2 linked regions of the Arabidopsis thaliana genome follow. The protein of the gene in region 1 purifies or fractionates together with the protein of each later gene. This does not show direct contact. Each region holds a gene or a part of one and is shown in the gene's direction. Other genes may lie near its edges.

Region 1 (5,831 bases):
TAAAGAAGCCTTGAGATATAACGAAAATGTTGGCTTTCACTTGTGACTGTAATTTTTATTCCAAACTCTTAACTATGAAATTACGTTCAAATGTATTTACGATAACTGCCTGGTCATATACATAATCAAATCAAGTTTTTAACATGTGGTTCGTGCACCACTAGTTTTCTAAAAGGTTAGGATATTAGAACATACGTCTTGAAACCCTAGCATCTATAATTCTTTGTAACCATATATTCAAAATTTATAGATACTCAAAAATTTCCTAAAAGTATTAAAATTTGTCAATAGTAAAAAGCTTCGCACACAATTATTTTGTTTGGGAAGATGAGTTATCTACCCATATCATGGCAGACAACCTGGTACCTTTGCCTCTGTCCACATTATCATAGATTATATATATTTTTGGTTTTATATTCCATTTCTCTGTATTTTATACTTTAGAATCTTATTTACACAAATTTAGTATATGATTTTTTTTTGTATCTTTAGATGTAACTTTTTGATGACATTAAATAGATGGTATATTAGGTCAAATAATCAAAGTGTAACAGTATATACTATTATAGATCTATGTCATATATGACCTATTTAATTTGTTGGAATCTCTCGAAATGTACAAAATAATATTGGTTAGGTTTAAAAATGTTTAAGCACCAACTGGATCATTATATTAAATTAATAATCCAAGTGGTATTAATTACAATTAAACTTTCTTATATGCATTTCTTATAAAACTTTCCCTCGAATCTTGAGAGTCATTTTAGTAATTCGAAAGGAAACTTAGTTTAACAAATTTTCCTATAAAGAAAAACAAAACCGATTTCCTTGTACATTTGCGGATGACTATTTCTACAATTACAGTTTATGAATTCGTTCATAAAGCCTTTTGGCCATACAAATTTTGTATACCTCCAAATTTTAAGCCATATTTAACCATCTTGCTTAAGTAATGACCGTAAAGTCAAGTACATATCTGTCCACATGGGAACATGGATGCTTCTAAGCTAGTAATTATCCACATGATGTTGCAAAGGCACCGTTTTATACATAATGCCACACATGTAAAGCCCGGAATAATATGTGATATCTTAAACCATCACATACCTCCCTAAGATTTGTATGGAAATATATAAAAATTATTATGCTACAAAAATTCATTCGTCTTGTAATGAAAAGTAAAATTGTTTAAACGTACGTTTTAGAAAAAAAAGAAGAAGAGAGAAATTGTGCTATTTACATTACTGTTTTTTTTATTTGCATTAGAAATTTTGTTACTAGGTGCAAATACACTTAAAAATGAAGAATGTGTACCAGGATAGTCGGAGTTCTGTCTTAGGATGATAAATATACAAATCCTATAGGTTGTTTTGCTCCAAAACTGTGGGCTGGTTAAAGTTAGTTTATTAGCTAGGTAATGCGTGATTAGGTCATCTACACATAGTGACTTGGATCTCACGTGGAATAAAGCTTCTGATATCTTATTTTATTGTAAAGCTAAACAATATATATTGATCAGCTAAAACATATTCGATGTAATTTTTATATGCATGTTCAAATTTTCAAGTAAAAATTGGCAAGAGATCTTATTGGGAAAAACCCTCAACTACAATTATAATTGTTTTTTTTTTTGCCTCATTACAAGCTTAAAGGATGTATTTATAGTATACAGAAAAAAGAAAAGACTTATTTTTCTGGTCGGTCATTGGTGGATCCATGAGCTTAACAGAATAAACTTATGACTTGGGCCCATAGAGAAATTTGGGCCTAGGTCTGGGCCTCTGTTGTTAATCATCAGAGCCTTTAGGCACTTGTAGTGTACCTTTCTCGTGGCGTAGTACCTCAACCACCACCATTTTAGGGTTTCTTCGTGCCATTGATATTTTGAGAGGCGAAGGAAACAATACGATTCAGAGAGAGGTAAGATGAATCTATTCGTGTAATTCTAGAATTAATATCGAGTTTAGTCGTTGGAGATTTTTTTGTTCGTTTACCTCAATTTGTTTTGTTTTCTGTGAATAGACGAGTGAAAATGGCTGCAAAAGAAGGTAGTAGGATTTTTGTCGGTGGTTTATCGCCGGAAGTGACAGATAGAGACCTTGAAAGAGCTTTTAGCCGCTTCGGAGACATTCTCGATTGTCAGGTACCAATTTGAAATTTTTGTTCTATGTTTTGTTCTTCTCTGTGTAGGTTGGTACTATTTTTATTCCTTGAGTTTATCATAGCTTGTGCCTGCACTAGTCCTATGAAATTTAGAGATTGTTATCTAAAGCTTTGTGATAAGAATTGAACATGTCTATGAATATTTTTGGAATGTTTTAAGTTGAAAGTGGTATATTTGCTTGAGCTGATCGTGAAAACATATACTTGAAAAAATGAGATTACACTAATAATACAGAAATACAGAGACGTTTGAGGATTAGTTGAAAAGTCTTGCTTTGCATTATTCCTCTTTTCACTTATTGATCTTCCCTTTTTTCTTTTTTTTCCTGGATGCTGGTAATGTATCACTGAAACACTATAGATTGATGAATTAGGGATGATATTGATCAGAGCTACATGGTTCAAGTTGAGAAACTACTCTGTGATAAAGAATTAAACTGCCTGAGATTTTAGGATATACAGTAGTGTTTGAGTTTCTGAGCAAATTGATTTCCACACTTTTGGAATGTGTTTCACAAGGTTGGGACTGTCGTAACTGGTTACTTCAGTTTCTTCTATCATCAAGGAAATTCTTTATTTTGCTCTGGAGGGATGACTGTTTTTTCGTAACTCATGATTGAGATGTGTAATTCTTGAGTTCTCTAAGTATGCCGTGACTGGGTTTTGGTTTACTTCCTGATAATGTTCCTTGTTACTGCTCTTACTAGTAATTAAATGTTTGTTTGCTGGCCTGGGATACCTGATTTGGTTTTGAGTGGTCAATTCGAGATGCTACCCAGTTTAGGCCAGAGTCTCAGTTCTTCTTCAGGTGGTGAAGATATTTAGGAACTCCTTGCAGTAGTTACGTTGTGTAGTCATATTTCTGGATAATCCCAGTCTACATTCAGTTGTCTTGCCGCAAGATTTCGTTTTCTCCTCATACCCTGAGCATCAGTGCAAGCAGTTTGGATTCTTCAGCGTAGTATGAACCTGCAGAACGGAAAATTACACTCAGTTGAAGCAGAGATCTCAAGGTTTCGGTGATCCTTTTCTTATCCAGATTTCCTACTTGTCTTTCTTGTGGGCTGTTTGCTTTACCTCATCTCGCTTCTCCTGCCATGTGTGGCTAGTAGGAGTTACATGGATTTGATCTTTTCCTTTCTCTGTTCTTCTTTTTCAGTCTTACAAATTTCCTAATTTTCTAATGCAAGCCAATTAAAATGATTCTTGTGCCTGGGCCACACATTTTCTATATCCACCAACCCCAGTTCTCTGTGCTTATCTTTTCCGGAAGTTTCTGAAACCTGATAAAGCTCTTTGTGTGAGAGGAATTCTGTATTTCTGATCTGTGGGTTGTGGTGCTATGTAAAGAATCGTCAGCTCCAGTGAATCTGAATGACTTCAGCTGGATCAATGTCAGATGATATCTGCATATTGAGTAGAAACAGATGTTTGATCAGTAATTTTGAGTACAGCTAATTAACTGACTTCCTTCTCTGTAAACCTTCCTCTCTTTAGTTTTGCAACTACATCACATGGCTGTTGAGAATAGGGATGAACTAGTATACTATCTAAGGGCTTAAATTGAGGAATTTTTCATTTTGAACTGAGAAAAAGTTGTTAGTGCTTTCTGCTACCTCTGCTTGAGATTGGAGACTTACTTTAAAGTTGATTCAGTTTCTGGGGATCTGTACTGTGTTTTGCTCTGAAGTTGAGGTTGATTGACTATTTACTACACAAAGCAGGGTCACAGTGTTATGCAGTGAACCTTAAAACGGTTGGGTGTTTCTTGATGTCACATGGGCTTGATATGATCTTTCAGATTTTGCAATCGTTTCATTTTACTACTGCCCTTCTGCTCACTTTTAGCTACACGTATGCATATATCTTTGGGAAATCAGCTTTTATGGTGTATTGTGTATAGATCATGCTGGAAAGAGATACTGGTCGTTCACGTGGATTCGGGTTTATCACTTTTGCTGATCGCCGCGCTATGGATGAGTCCATCAGAGAGATGCATGGAAGGGACTTTGGTGATCGGGTCATCTCAGTGAACAGAGCTGAACCAAAACTGGGGCGAGATGATGGAGAAAGTCATGGCTCTAGAGGTGGCAGAGACAGTGGCTACTCGATTGCTGGAAAAGGAAGCTTTGGTGGAGGTGGAGGTGGAGGTGGGCGTGTTGGTGAAGATGAATGCTTCAAGTGTGGACGGGTTGGGCACTGGGCCCGTGATTGTCCTTCTGCTGGTGGTGGTCGTGGAGGACCTGTTGGTGGTTTTTCTTCACGTGCTAGTGCGTATGGAGGATCTGATGGACGTGTTGACCGCTATGCTGACCGTGACCGCTATGTGGACCGCGAACGATACATAGATGATCGATACGACGGTGCTGCACGCTATGGTGCTAGAGACAGGTTTGACAGCAGAGAAGCCTACATACCCCGTGATCGATACGCCAGTGACAGGTTAGAATCAAGTTTCTAATGCAACTCAGATTATTGTAAGGTTATCAAAGTGACTTGCTTTTCTTACATAACTTTATTCTTATCTGTGATTTTACAGGTATGCAGCCCCGGCTGATCGGTTTGCAGGTGGTGATAGATACAGCCGTGGATCAGACCGTTATCCTCCAGGGAGCTATGACAAAGCTCGGTCCTTTGAGAGAGACATAGCCCCGAGTGCAGGCAGTGACAGGTACGGTGGTGGTAGAGCTGGTGGTCCCATCCGTGGAGGAGGAGAGGAGGGAAGAGGGTTTAGAAGCAGAGCCGGTGCTCCTTATGAGAGACCGAGCAGAAGTGGTGGTGGTGGAGCTTATCCGTCGTCGTCCACTTTTGACCGTTATTAAGACACATTAATGAAAGAAAGTGAGAATGATGCTTGGTTAGAGCTCTATACACTCAGTCGTGTGTGTTGCTTGTGGTAATGAATATCTCTGTAAGCGTTATAGGTGTAAAAGACTTGTCTTTTTTATTTATATATGATTAGTTTGCGGACCTGTTTAGCTTTGTATTTTGATCCTTTATTATTTTTGGTTTGTTTTGGACCATAACATGACTTTTGAGCTTCGTCAGTCAATGTTAAACCTTGCACACATAACTAGCCTTTTTAGTTTCATCATCAATGTACAAGAGACGAGTGTCTTAGGCATCCGCATGTTATTCTAAAATTTTGATTTATTGTTTTGTATACTGTACATATTGCTTCATATTGTCAAAATTTTCGTTTTTTCCTATAAGTTCAATCTATTACCAAATAGGCAAATAAAACGAAGCAGAATATTATTGTAGAGACAAAAGAAAAGTTGAGAAATTAATTAAAACAATAAAGAGTCCAAATCGATTGGATAATAAAAAGGCCTTAAAAGAGTAAAGAGTAAAAAAAAAAGCCACTCAAAAGTCGGAAAACAATCACATCTATAAACGTTTTCTTCACTCTCTCTGCTACTTGTCTCTCAAAAGAAATGCAATTGTGAAAGCCCTAAACTAACCGTGAAGAAGACGATGGATCGCAAGGGAAAGGGTAAACAGGTCGCCGGTAGTGATTCGTATTCCGGCGGACAGAAAAGGAAAAACTCCGTCGAATTCAGAGATGAAGGTTTGAGGATTAAGAAGCGCAAAAACCCTGAGGTTCTTCAGTTCTTCGAAGAATCAGCTGAAGTTGGCTACTACGGAGGCAGCTCCGACGAAGATGA
Region 2 (6,242 bases), on another chromosome or scaffold:
AAATGCACGCGAGATTTTACATGTTTATGTTTAAAATAAACGGTCATCAGAATGTTGTGTCATTTGCGATCTTCGTCATTTTTCATTTCCAAATATACGTAGACTGACCTAATGTTGATAAATGCGATAGTTCTTAATTTCACATGTTTAAAATTCGAATTGGGATTTAAGAAAAATTCTCATCAAATATTTATCATTAGTGTATATATATCAGTGTTTTACATTTGTTAATCCTAAATAATAAACCGATCTGAAAAGTTGATAAATGCGTTGTCAAAAGACAAAATATACATCCAAACAAATCACGTGATTGCCTTCAACTTGCCACGGTTCAAAGATTTAACAAATCTTCTAAAACACCAACTTAACCCACGAATACACAAGCACAGAGTGGTGGTAAACATACAAGTTAATGAGTTATTCAAATGAGATTTTCAATATCATTCTTCTTCAGCCCGTCACAAGAAGCCAAGATTAAGCCATTAGAGGAAGTTTATAAACCGACAAAACCTGCTTAGATACAAAGAATACTAGCTAATGTGTTTCAACAAACTTCAAATTGACGATACGTTACATTCATATTAATCACTTCAGAGCTTGATTATTCAAATTATTTTTTCTACTGTGATACATATATACACACATGTTTTGCTTTTCTATGATTCTATCTACATTTTCATACCGTTGAATAATTTATGTATGAATTACGATGCAATTTCCTTCATTATGCTTGAATAAAATGCTTTTGGACATGCATGCGATATTGGATCTACTTTTGGATTCTATTTTTAAAAATCAGCGAGTTTGTTGCTTTGTAATTTTTAATTAGGCATCAAGAATTTCTAAAATGCACGCGAACTGGTGAAAAGAGGAATGTTTACGTTTACCCCTTTATTTTCTTACAGCTCATAAGGATACTGTCAGAAGACAGAACCAAGGCTCTCTGACTATAAATTGGAATCCATTTAAACATAATGTTATGACCAATGATGGCCAACGGTTAGCCCAAACTAATTAACTACAAGTCAAGTTCCAATATTCTAAGGAGAAATAATAGTATACTAAACATACATTAGAGAGGTTAAACTTCTTTTTGGATTTAAGTGTGTATGCATAGGCTATTTATTCTTAAGTATAACTATTAACTGTAGCTAGATTTATACAAGAAATACATAAAACTTTATGCATGTGAGGTAGCCATGAATATACGTACATGTTGCAATCGATTATACATGTTGTATTTGGATTTCTCTATACATGTTTTAACTTGTCATTCTCTAAGTATATACATACCATTAATACTGTGGGCATGAGTTTATGATAAGACTTTTCTTTTGGAGACCAGTTTTGTTTTCCTTTCCACCTATATTTGTCTATAGGCTTCACGGTACACTAGTTTACAAGTGTTTTTATATGTTCTAAATAAAATTGAGATTTTCCGGAACGGTATGATCTGTTTGCAAATAAGGACGTATATATAACAGTATCAAATATATTTGTTGTTATAAGGCAATAATATATTTTCTGAGATATTGCGTGTTACAAAAAAGAAATATTTGTTAAGAAAAAAAAAGATGGTCGAAAAAGGGGAGTAGGTGGGGGCGGTCGGCTTTTGATTAGTTAATAAAAGAAACCACACGAGTGACCTACCGATTCGACTCAACGAGTCTACCGAGCTAACACAGATTCAACTCGCTCGAGCTTCGTTTTATGACAAGTTGGTTTTTTTTTTTTTTTTTTAATTTTTTCATCTTCTTGGGTTTGGTTGGGTCACTCTTCAGGTCAGGTGTGTAAAAAAGAAAGAAAGAAAAGAGAGATTGTTGTGTTGTAACCCCTTTGACTAAAATCTAATGAACTTTTTTAACACAACAAAACTCCTTCAGATCTGAAAGGGTTCTTCTTCTCTCTTAGTCTCTTTGTCCTTTTATTCTCCGTCGTCGTTTCATGATCTGACTCTCTGGTCTTCTCTTCTTCTTCTTCTTCTTCTATTTTTTCTTACTTCGTCACTGTTGTGTCTGAACATGCCACGCCCTTTCTTCCATAAGTTGATTTTCTCATCCACTATCCAAGAAAAACGTCTGGTAACTTACTCTCTCTCTCTCTCTCTCTCTCTGTTCTCCTTCTCCTCATCTTTCAAAGTTTTGATTTTGTGCGAAATTGAGGGTTTTCAAGGTTTGGAATCTGGTGAACGAGTTTGTAAGATTATGCCTTGTGACACTCTTGCTTGATTTCTTACAATTCACTTGTATTGATTCTTTGTAAGAATCGAGTCAAGGTTGTGCTTTTATCTTCTTACTCTTCCCTGTTTTGGGTAATGAAAAGAAGTTCCATTTTTGAACTTTGTGTTGTCTTATTGGTCAAATGAGAATTTGTGGGTTTCCAATGGAAGTCTGCAAGACAGTTTCTTTTGGTCATTGGTTGTGTTTGGTGGGAAATTGGGTATTTGATGGTATATCTGTACTCTGACAGCATATTGTGTGTAGTTTGGGAATTTTTTTTTTTTTTTTGAGTGATTTGACTTTTGGAGGACGATTTGATTCTGTCAGATTGATCAAATTTCTTCTGAGGAGAAAAAGTTGAGATCTGTTTATGGTTTCTCTATTATAAATGTCTGTTTTGTTTACTCTATTTTGACTGTTTTCTCTGTTTGACTTAGGAATGTCTGAGATCTTAGACTCCTTATTGAGTATTGTGTGGCTTGTGAGTGAATCCCTAAAACTGAGTAGTTGACTTGTTTTGAAGGTCTCTATGTATTGTGCTTATGTTTTAAAGTTGTCTACTTTATTTGATACAGTGATTAGTCATCACTTGTACAGATTCCCCCAAGAGCATTGTTTTGAACAAATCCAAATTTGCTTAGCTCTCCATTTGGCATTTAAGTGACTAGATTTTCTCTGGAATAATGATTTCGATTAACACAGGCATTTATGTGGAACCAAGTTTGCAAATTATTAATGTGATAAGATCATAGGAGTCGTGTAATCAATCTATTCAGAGATAAATGTACCATTTTACATGTGTACTAATGGACTGTGTCTCCTTGTTGATGCCTTCTCTAAACTGAAATATGGCCTTTTGGTTTGTGTTTTTAAATTAGGTAAAGCCGTCGTTTCTTCAGCTACTGTGTTTATTGGATGTTTTTGCTGAAAAATGTCTGTTTCGATTTGATGTTCTCGCAATATTCTGTGCTGTTCTTATAGATATTGTGGACATTTATATCATTATATGCTTCTTTATATCTCATACCGGCATGCTTGTGCAGAGGGTCCCAGATAAGTTTGTGAGTAAATTCAAGGATGAGCTTTCGGTTGCTGTTGCACTCACAGTACCTGATGGTCATGTTTGGCGTGTAGGACTAAGGAAAGCTGACAACAAAATTTGGTTTCAAGATGGTTGGCAAGAGTTTGTTGACCGTTACTCCATTCGCATTGGTTATCTTTTGATTTTTAGATATGAAGGAAACTCTGCCTTCAGCGTCTACATTTTCAATTTATCCCACTCTGAGATCAATTACCATTCCACCGGTCTCATGGATTCCGCTCACAACCACTTCAAACGCGCCCGTTTGTTTGAAGACCTTGAAGATGAAGATGCCGAGGTCATCTTTCCTTCTTCTGTGTACCCATCACCACTTCCTGAGTCTACAGTACCAGCCAACAAAGGGTATGCTAGTTCAGCCATCCAAACCTTGTTCACTGGACCAGTTAAAGGTGATATTTATAACCAACTGATTCCCTTTATCTATCGCTGATTACGCGTCTTATCATTCTTTTGAGGTTGATGCTTGATATTTTCCTTATCTCCAGCTGAAGAGCCAACGCCAACCCCAAAAATACCTAAAAAGAGAGGGAGGAAGAAGAAAAATGCTGATCCTGGTAAGCACTTTTCCTCTTTGAAATGCTTCAGACTCGTTTTCAGAGGATTCACAGATTCTTCCTCATGATACATATATCCTTTTGATATTGTCCTTACAGAGGAAATAAACTCATCAGCTCCGCGAGATGATGATCCAGAGAACCGTTCAAAGTTCTACGAGAGTGCTTCTGCGAGAAAGAGAACCGTGACTGCAGAAGAAAGAGAGAGAGCCATCAATGCAGCCAAAACGTTCGAACCAACAAACCCTTTCTTCAGAGTGGTTCTGCGACCATCCTATCTATACAGAGGTTGCATCATGGTAATAAAAAAACATCTTAGGAAGACTTAATCTTATCGGTGTCTTCACTGATCTCTAAAAGAAGCCTTCTGTTTCTGTTTCTCTCAACAGTATCTTCCTTCTGGGTTTGCTGAGAAGTACCTAAGTGGGATCTCCGGGTTCATCAAAGTCCAGCTTGCGGAGAAACAATGGCCTGTTCGATGTCTCTACAAAGCCGGGAGAGCCAAATTCAGTCAAGGATGGTACGAATTCACTCTAGAGAACAACTTAGGAGAAGGAGACGTCTGTGTGTTTGAGCTGCTCAGAACCAGAGATTTCGTTTTGAAAGTGACAGCCTTTCGAGTCAACGAGTACGTCTGAACAAAGCATTATGGTGTGATCATTCTGGATTTGCAAGTACAATGTCGTGTAGGAGTATCTTAATTTAAAAACAACTAAAAAACTCTCTTCTGGTCTGTGTCATTATTGCGTCAGTGTCTCGTTTTTTCTCTCGGGTTTACTTTGTGTTATCGATGTGGATAAGTTGTTTTTACCTCATTATATATAACCTCTTGAGTGGAACTCAAATTGTTTGAGTAGAACAAACAAAGTTAGGGTTTAAGAAGAAGTCTGTAAATACCTAATCTCCATCAAATTTGAGTAGAAAGACAAACTGTTCTGGTGGAATACAAGGAGGGAACTTGAGATAACAAACTTAAGAATAGCCTTCAAGCCAACGTCTAGAATTTGATGAAGTTGTTGTTTGATCACCTCTGAGATAATTGGAAACCCTCTTCATGCAGTTTGCTTGAGGATACTGGTGAAAATGGGAGTATTGAAGGAAAATGCATATATAAGATTGTAGGTGGGAACTGTGGTAGCAGACATACAGAGGTGAAGCAGTAGATTACATAAGAAAACATCCAGATTCCCAAGGTGCAGGCACCCGCTCTTACAGCTACAAGGTACGGTACGTAATTGGCACATGCTTAACCATGTGATCACCACTAAATTGTGGTTGACTGTTAGATTGTCATGCTGATGTCAGGGGATGCATAATTGAAACGAGAGGAAGATGCAGTGCTGGTCAAAATCCCTGCAGTAAACTCTATGGATCTCTTGCTGATATGCGTGCGTTTATATTTGCATAACACTAGGTTAAACGACAATCAAGGAGTGTAGTATCATGAGTAAACATTTGATATGTTTCAACTTTGGATGCCCCAAAAAAACCACAAGCTTAGCTGTGGTTTTAAATAATTTGTGGGTTATGTTTTGGTCCAATATATGCTAGATTTATGCGAATGGGTAATAATGACTTCTAGTTGTTTGTACAACTTGAAACTTAGGTGAAAAAGAAACTCGGAGCTTCGAACATGAGTTACTTTTGTCATTGAATTAGAAATGGTTGAAGTTTTAGACACAACACTTGTTCTCTAGACATATACTGTACCAGACATGTTTTGATCATAAAACTTAAAAAAAAAAGAAAACCGTGTGTAAATCAAGCAAGGGACAACTACAATATTACAATCTTATTGAGATATCAGTTCAAAGGATTATTCAAAGAACATGAACAAGAAAATTTAAGGGCCTCTTCTACTTCCAGGTCGCTCGATCAGGGGATTATTCAAAAAATATGACAAAAATAAATTAAGAAAAACACAAAAAACTAATATTACATGTAGAGGTTGTTTTAGTCGTCACCTCTTTTTGTTTTGCCTCCTCCGGCTTGCTCGATTTGGACCAAACTTGGAGCGTAATTGAGAATAACTTGCGAAATTCCTTCAAGTGAATCTGTAGCCTCTCCCTCTCCAGAACCTACTTCATCGACTTTATTATCCTCCCCGAGAATGTATATCTTGTCGGTGATCTTGTACTCTCTCCTGCACTGGTACCTGTGGTGCTCTTGCGGTTCCAACCATCTCTCACAACACACAGCGACTTTCTTATCCTCGTCAAGCAAAAAATTTACCTCCTCCGAAAATAATTGAAGATCAGGGCTTAAATCAAATGCTAGGACCTTGGTCCAAGAGACTGCTGCTCCTTTGGTGGTGGTGTCATCAATCTTATTCGTCACCCATATCTCAGTCTTAGATTCAAAATCGAG

Evidence for each region.
Region 2: the proteins of AtRZ-1c (region 1) and VRN1 fractionate together in Arabidopsis thaliana (co-fractionation; one large-scale study listed by BioGRID). This does not show direct contact.

What each region holds. Positions count from the first base shown.
Region 1 is NC_003076.8:1,190,429-1,196,259, forward strand, and holds AtRZ-1c (RNA-binding (RRM/RBD/RNP motifs) family protein with retrovirus zinc finger-like domain-containing protein), read left to right. Parts: upstream 1-1,830; 5' UTR 1,831-1,920; intron 1,921-2,022; 5' UTR 2,023-2,032; coding exon 2,033-2,143; exon of another isoform or gene 2,144-4,066; coding exon 4,067-4,605; intron 4,606-4,702; coding exon 4,703-4,985; 3' UTR 4,986-5,331; downstream 5,332-5,831. Other genes in the region: KTF1 (kow domain-containing transcription factor 1), read left to right, coding at 5,641-5,831.
Region 2 is NC_003074.8:6,547,348-6,553,589, reverse strand, and holds VRN1 (AP2/B3-like transcriptional factor family protein), read left to right. Parts: upstream 1-1,555; 5' UTR 1,556-2,021; coding exon 2,022-2,081; intron 2,082-3,262; coding exon 3,263-3,710; intron 3,711-3,806; coding exon 3,807-3,875; intron 3,876-3,974; coding exon 3,975-4,174; intron 4,175-4,264; coding exon 4,265-4,503; coding exon of another isoform or gene 4,504-4,513; exon of another isoform or gene 4,514-4,825; intron 4,826-4,935; coding exon 4,936-5,038; 3' UTR 5,039-5,097; intron 5,098-5,180; 3' UTR 5,181-5,463; downstream 5,464-6,242. Other genes in the region: ETP1 (EIN2 targeting protein1), read right to left, coding at 5,829-6,242. UniProt on the Arabidopsis thaliana protein: Essential protein. Involved in the regulation of vernalization. Acts as a transcriptional repressor of FLC, a major target of the vernalization pathway. Binds DNA in vitro in a non-sequence-specific manner.